Linked DNA regions of Ovis aries. The protein of the gene in region 1 interacts with the protein of each later gene in a biochemical or structural test. Links are inferred from orthologs where the notes say so. Each region holds a gene or a part of one and is shown on either strand. Other genes may lie near its edges.

Evidence for each region.
Region 2: the proteins of SCN8A (region 1) and FGF14 form a complex in vitro, tested with the Homo sapiens proteins (2 studies listed by BioGRID). The link is inferred for Ovis aries from reciprocal best matches to the Homo sapiens genes SCN8A and FGF14.

Annotation. Positions count from the first base shown.
Region 1 is NC_056056.1:134,531,534-134,535,033, forward strand, and holds part of SCN8A (sodium channel protein type 8 subunit alpha), read right to left. Parts: intron 968-3,500; coding exon 497-967; intron 1-496. UniProt on the Homo sapiens protein: Pore-forming subunit of a voltage-gated sodium channel complex assuming opened or closed conformations in response to the voltage difference across membranes and through which sodium ions selectively pass along their electrochemical gradient.
Region 2 is NC_056063.1:78,110,703-78,114,969, forward strand, and holds the start of FGF14 (fibroblast growth factor 14), read right to left. Parts: upstream 2,801-4,267; 5' UTR 2,022-2,800; coding exon 1,814-2,021; intron 1-1,813. UniProt on the Homo sapiens protein: Probably involved in nervous system development and function.

The DNA.
Region 1 (3,500 bases):
GTCCCAGTGGTACAGCTCAGACAGACTGATGGCAGGGAAGAACCCGAGGGTTTCCTCCAGCCTCTGATCCAGATGACTCAGAAGCAAGAGAGGCAGATCTGGGAACATCTCAGGAATTTAGCTCATCTGGGGGTGGGTAGAATTGGTTCTCAAAGTTGAAAGTGAAGTGAAAGTCCCTCAGTCTTGTCCAACTCTTTGCGACCCCATGGACTGCAGCCTGCCAGGCTCCTCTGTCCACAGAATTCTCCAGGCCAGAATACTGGAGTGGGTGGCCATTCCCTTCTCCAGGGGATCTTCCCGACCCAGGGATTGAATCCAGTTCTCCTGCATTGCAGGCGGATTCTTTACTGTCTGAGCCATCAGGGAAGCCCAAAAGTTCAAAGTTGAGAGTTGGCTATTCCAAAATCTCTCTGCCAGGCCCATGGCTGGACCAGTCCCCAGGCTGATCATTTGTTCTTACATAGGATCAAGACAGGTTTCTCGGCTGGGACCTTACATCTTTGCTGCCTTCAGGATCCGACTCGCTGCTGACGTCCTCTGTGTTTAGGTTCTCAAAGTCGGACTCGCCGACGGCGATGGGCACTCGCACGGTCAGGTTGGGATTGTTGATGAAGGACATGTGGTCCTCGTCGATGATGTACTTCTCCACGCTGCTGCCGATGCCACTGGTGGTGCCATTGCCGTTCTTCTGGAAGTCACCGTTCCGGTGGATGTCGGCGCCGGTGTGGTTGGCGATGCAATTGGCTTTCTTCTCGTACAGCTCGTCCAGAGGCTTCACTTCATCGGCCTCGCGCTGCTTGAAATGGGCCTGCATGAAGGCATGCACTTTCAGCTTGATCCACGCCACGCCCTTCTTGATCCGGATCACGGAGATTTGCAGGTTGTTCATTTCTCCATCGTCGTCTGTGGCCGCCAGGTTGTCAGCACTGAATGAGCTCAGAAGCAAGGCCAGAAACAGGTTCAGCACCTGCACCGGGAGCATTAGGAAAACGGCGAGTGAATGGAGAACGGTGTTGGGTACAGCTATCCACTAAACTAGGGCTGTAAACTGCAGGCTCACAGTCTTATGGAAAAGACTCGAGAGCTCCTACTGTGCTCTGTCTGACTCACGCAGTGTTTTCAGTGCTCATGTCACTACGTGCACATTTTGTTTGGTTTTGGTTGTAATACAAGGAGTTCAGCACTCCTTTTTTGGGTTCTTTTGCAGTGCTATTCACATATATATGTACTTCAAAACATACTCCTTTTCTTATAATCAGAAAAAGCAAAGGTTGTATCCATTTTGGGAGGAAATTCTCCAAAAATACAAACAAAAAGGTGGGCACGGATTATTGAGAAGGATCAAAGAATGCCTAGATGCCATGTGTTCCTGAAGAGCAGGTGTCCTGGAGGACCCAGGTTAGAAAAAAATTAGGCTTGGAGAACCAGACTTTCAAATAACAAATCTAGAAGGTGGAACTGAAATATCTTCCATGTTATCCTATTTTAAAAATCTATTTTGTTTTCCTAACATTTACCAAAATTAAGTAGCTCTAGCAAGAAGTGATGGTGACTTTTGGGTTCTATATCCAAGTGTCAGGCCATTAGAAACAAGTTTCACTTATTTTTCTTTTCTTTTCTTAACCACATTGGGCATTAGGATTAATTTATTTTTATTAAGACTTACTTTTGAAAAGTGGGAGGGATGTTCACTCGATTTACACTTGGCCCTTACTTTGTCATACTTCTGAAGAAGAGTAAGGCACACATTTTAGGTGGAAATAATCATATGCACAAGGTGGGAGAAACAGAAACAATGTATGAACTCTGCGCACCCGGGTTCCAGTGGCATTTGCAGCGTTACCGAGGAAGACAGTCGGTTAAACTGGGGTCAGCTAATAAGGGCTTTGTAGGCCAGGCTGAAATATTTGAATCTTAATTGGATCCACTCTTGGTCCTTGAGTAAATGAGTCACAGATGATGACAGAGATTTGAGAAAGCCATTCCTACTAGGTACACATGTGGTAGGCTGGGAGGAGGGGTTAGGAGTTAGAAGGCTGTTCCTTGCATGAGTTGATAAGGGTCTGGATCAGGCTGTGGCAATCTCAAACCTTAGCAAGCAGAAGAATCTCCTGGAGTGGCATGCTTGTTAAAAACGAGCATCTCCTTGGTCTCACCAGAAAGATTCTGATTCAGTAGATCTGGGGCAGGTCCTGGGACTTGGCCTTTTTTAATGAGTGAAGCTCAAGGTGACTGTAACGAAGGTGGTCTTCCTTGGACTTTTAGAAATACCAGATGGGTTGTAGAAATGGAAAGGAAGGGGCAGATCTCAGAAATACTACAAAGAAAGATGCATATATAGAAATGCTAAGAAGAAAGAGATGAGAGACATCAGATGTCTACCTGGAATGGAGAGAAACGTCAGAAGAAACTGACAGATTCCTGGAGACGACATGGGCAGAAGGACTGTGCCACGGGGGAACTGGGAAAAGTGCCATCCCAGGCAGAAGTACCAGTGGATTTTGCCGTGTGCTCAGGTGTCTGTAGCCAGTCGTGGGAAGGTGTCCCTGAGACTACTGAGGACGGGAGACTAGAGAAATGGGAGGTCAGGGCTGGTGATGCTGACTCTGCAATGGACAGTAGCTGCAGGCAGCAGCTGTCCTCAATGAAGGAGTGGGAAGACTGGGGGTCAGGACTGAGGGCAAGATGGCTGGGAATGGAGAATGGGAGTGACTAAGAAACATTACATTGCCTGTTTTTATAGGTCCAGTGAAAGACTAGGGTGGGCAAGGCTGGTTCAGAGGCTGATGAGTAGGAATGCCCTACTGGCATATGCTTCTCTATGGCAGAAAATGGAAGAGAACCACTCTCGAAGAGCTTATAAGGGGTCATCTGAGTGTGTCTTCTTCCAGTCCTCCTCCTTGTACACTTGCAGGCGGGCTTTGGCCTGATTTGAAAGATGAGTGCTTCTTAAACTACAACGTGTATGTGGATCACCTGGGAATCATGTTAAAAATGCAGATACTGATTGTGGGGAGTGGCCTAAGATTCTGAATCTCTAGTATAGCCTTGAATGTTCTCACTGCTGCTAGTCCTCAGATGACACTTTAGAAACAAGGTGTTAATTTCTGTAGGTGAGCATTCTATTTACAGAGGCAAGTGACAGCAGGTGGACAGAGTGAAGCAAGGAAGCGATTTGAAATTTATAAACCTCAGATAAAATCCTAGGATGGCTTAGATCCATGGTTCTTAAAGGAGGGCAATTTTGCCCTCTGAGGGCAGTTGGTCATGTCTGGAGACATCTTTGGTTTTTACAACTTGCGCCGGGGGTCACTACTGGCCAGTACAGAGTAGATGCCAGGGATACTGCAAATACCTTACAGTACACAGGACACTTCCACAACAAATAATTATCCAGCCCAAAAGATCAGGCTGAGAAGCTCTGAGTGTTTTTTAATAGTAGAAAGACCACAGACTTTGAAGTCAAGGATCTAACACAAGCCCTGACGTTTATTAGCTGC
Region 2 (4,267 bases), on another chromosome or scaffold:
GCTCACCGCCCAATTGGAAATGCGGCTGGGGAGGTGACCACACTGCTTTCTCCTTGGGTGATGCTCAGGGTGGTGGTACCATCTCAGAGTTGCTAAATACGGAGGAGTTAAGAGAGACGAGGGTGGAAGGACAGGGCATGGAGCGGGTGGTGGACAAAGAGGAGAGGGGGACGGAGAGAAAGCCGGTCAAGCTAAACCGAGCACGGAGCTGAGAACTCCAGGTCGGAAGCAGGGGGCCACTGCAGCACCCCGCCGCCCAGAGCTTCCCTCAACTGCCACCCAAAGGTCCCGGCAGAAGGCAGCTGCCAGGCGTCCTCCCTGCGTCCAAGCACCTGCCCTCTGGACCAGCAGCACAGGGGGCCACAAGGGGGACCCAGCCTCCGCATCCACCCCTCCATCCCCGCCCACCCAGCCTTCCTCCCACCTCCCCACCCCTCCTCCCCTCCCTCCTCCCCTCCCCCTCCCCCTCCCCCTCTTCTCGCGCCGCCCAGCTACGCTGCATCAGCCAGCCCCGGAGGCAGGGAGGCGGCCGCCACTTGCCGCCCGGCCGGCGGGGCTCCGGGTGCCAGCGCGCCCCCGGCGGAGCTCGCAGTGTCAGGGTGCCCGCGGGAAGCCATGATCTACTACACCGCAGTGCCGCCGTCAGGAGCCCCGGGCGCCCCGGGCTGCCGCGGCAGGACGGCCAGGGCCCCGCCCCCGTCCCCCAACACGGCCCCCAGACACAAACACCGGCCTCCCGCCCCCGGGTCCCTCCCCGGCCTGGGCCGAACCGGGGGACACCGCACACCGCACCACCTCCCCCCCCCCCCCGCCCCTCCGCCTCCAGCGCTCGCGCTCTCGGACCCGCCGCGCCCGCGAGCCGCCGCCACCACCACGCAGTCCTCCGGCATGGCCTCCCCAGGGCGACTCGCCCACAGCTCCGCGGCCGCCCCCAAACGCCTCAGACTGAAATCCCGGGAAGTGAGCCCCGGGGACCCGACTCCCCCGAATCACCTGCATTTGCATTTCTTATATAACGTACTGCAAGCGTCCCGGTTGGAGCATTTTGGAAAGGGGGCGCACGATCGCCGCGAGGCTGAAGCAGGGACCCGGAGCCAGGCGCACCCCACCCTGGGGACCCAGATGCGGGGCGAGGACACTGCTTTATTAAAGGGAGAGACCGGGCTCGTCGGCTCGGTGTGGGGTTCCCTCCCAACAGGAGCCCCGCTCAGGTGTCCCCAGTGACAGGAGGTGTCGGAGACAGAAAACCGGAGAAGAGTTAGAACTCCGGCACGGCGAGCTAGACGGGGGCGGGAGGCGGGGGCCGCGCGGGAGGGGGAGCCCCTTCTACTTTGGTAAAGGTGATGGGGTGGCGGACACTGTGCAAGCTAATCAGAAAGTCTCGAGCAGGTTCTCGGAGCCGAGCTAGGTCTCCCCGAAGCCTGCAGCACAAGTCGGCGGAGCTCTCGGCTTCTTTTTCCTGGCAAAGAACGAAGCTTCGGCTGCCTCGGGCCAAACCTTAAGCTATAAACCCTTCAATACTTCACCAAACATCGGCAACCAGATACATTAATTTAAAAGAAAAAAAAAGTTTCCTCCTCCCTCCGAGTGATGGATTGTGTCACAGCCAAGGGATGCTGACACGGGTTTGGGGGCTCAGAGACGCGGATCCAGCTGTTCCTTGTTTATCCATGCAATAGCTCTATACACTATACTGTCCTGGTCCTTTGCTGTCTCCCCTGCCTTCCTGCATAGCAGAACTGCAGATCTAGCTCAGTGAGCAACAGACAGGTTATTAGGAGGAAAAACATAACATGATGCATGTTTTGCTTACCAGTTGGGTTCTTGTTTTTCTTAAGACTCTTGCCACAAAGACACTGCAGCATATGCGTTCCTTTGCTGAAAATGTTCCAAAGAAACCACATTGATTTGGGCGAAAAGCAATCCAGCAGCTTAGACACCCTGAGAAAGAAGAGATCCTTGTGGTTGCATAATAATAATTTGAAATCAGTTCTCCTGAAGAGGGGCACCGGTTTTACCATAGGAAAAACGATGATATTCCGGATCTTCTCCCAGTTTTTTCCCCTCACGTGGTGTATTTCTTTGAGACTTCTCAGTGATTGTTTTTTTTCGGCCAGGGTGAACGATTTTATCCCCCTTGATCACCACTGGATTATTACCAAAGGGTTGGCCAAAAAATCCTTTTTCAGCGTGAAGACAAACAAAAAAGCAAAGAAATCCCAACTGAGAGCAGAGTTAATCAAGGAGAACAGGAATGCACAAAAGATCCCCGAAGAGAAAACCATAGCCTTTTTACTTGATCGCTATGAGGATGAGTGAGTCTGCAGGAGGCTAAGCAGGATTCGTCTCACTGAGAGAAGACTGCCATTGTGTTGTCCCTAGGAGAGAAGATTTAAAAAAAAAAAAAAAAAGGAAAAAGGAAAGAAAGAAAGAAAAAAGAAAAAAAGAAAAAGGAAAGGAAACTGAAAAGAAAAAACCACCACCAGCACACACACACCCCGATACCACCTCCGAGTCTGACAGCCGAAGACACAGCCTCCCTTCTCTGTGTCGATTTTTTTTTTTTTTTAAATAATCAATCGCCGGTGCTCAGTGGGATCGGATAGAACCTGCAGTTCTCAATCACCACGAAGAAAAGATGCAAATTGAGGTGCCTGGGCAGGCTGGTCGTAGTAGATAGACAGCGCCACGGACCCCCTGGCTCCTGGCTCGCGCTCCGCCAGTTTCCAACAACGGTGAGCATGGGGAAAATCTCCCCTCCGGATTCCTCGCCCAGCCTCGGATGTGAGTTACAGGCATTAAAGGGAGGAGGAGTTGAAGTTTGCATTGAAAAGACTGGCTTTCCATGACGTAGCCACGTGCTTTCAGACCCGTCACCAGTGAGATGCTTGCACCCGCCCGGGGAGGGCAGTATCACTGCAGTCTCCCCGCCGGTTCCCCTCTCGAAGTATCCCCCGCCCCGCACCACCAGCACTCAGCCCCAACCCACCATTCGACCCCCTCCCTCCTCTCCCGGCCTGATGAGGCTTGCTGCTTGCCCTCCGAAGCCAGCTAACACAGACTTCTCTTTCAAAGTGAATTCTGAAAAGGAGAATTGATGATAATTAGCAAACCTTCAAAAATACATGGGATGGACCGGAGGCAGGGGTTTAAGCGGAAACAGCAGTTTAGGACCACTCCTCGGCCAACATTAGTTGCACCTAACACTTTCCAAAAACAGCCTGAAAAGCATCTAAAACCTTAAGGAAAACTCAAGTTCCTTTAGTTCTTACTTGAATCCTACTTGAAGAGCTGCTGGAAAAATATAAGCTAGGCATATGATAAGTATGTACTTGCAGGTACTGCCTGTTAAAAGAGCAATCACTAAGATCAGGGTGACAAGCTATACTTTGTTGAGGAGAGTCATATGTAAATGGGAATATTTCTGCCTTTTCTAGACAACCCATGATCTTCAAATACTTTTTTTTTTTTTGGTACAGAAAGCACTCTGCTTGATTCGCACACTAATTCATTGCTTTTTTTCTGCACTCATTAATTGAACTAACATTAAATTCATCCTTATTCTGTTATCTACGCTTGTCTACAAACTTGTCACCTGCCGCCACCATTTAACTGAACAAAACGGGCAAATTTTTTTCTTTTCTCAAGATGTAACCCAGTTTCCTAATTTCCCAGAAAAATGAAAACATTTAGGGCAGTGTTTTTTTATTTATTTTATCTCATTTGAGGAAATATATACAAGATAATACAAACTGTTACTAAGAATCATATAACAAATTCCAGTGTACTTCCTAATCAGAATTAATAAATGTTACAATTTCATATTTGTGTGCTGAGCATTTTCAAAAAAGTAAAATTCACCACTTTCACTGTTGTTAGGCAAAGGACTTCAAGTTATGCCAGCTTATTAAGCTCTGTCTTAATTTCAAAAGATTAAAACTATTACCTCTTCTGCATGGGATACCAAGCTATCTTATAAACAAATAGATGTAGATTTATGTTGTTGGAGACTGATAGAAACTGATTTTAAAGAAATTTAACTACTTACTTTTCAATTACTAAAATATGAAAATATAATAAACAACCTTCCATGCTAGTGTTTTCTAATATGCAAGAAGGATTTTGAGGTGTCAAATTTGTATCCAATATCCTTAACCCTTTCGGAAAATGTCAGTTGATTTTTAAACATGGTAGAAGAGGAATTTAATTCCAGCAAATTTTATTTAAGTTAAGAAGCTTGAAAGTTAAATGCTGATGTCCTCAACAT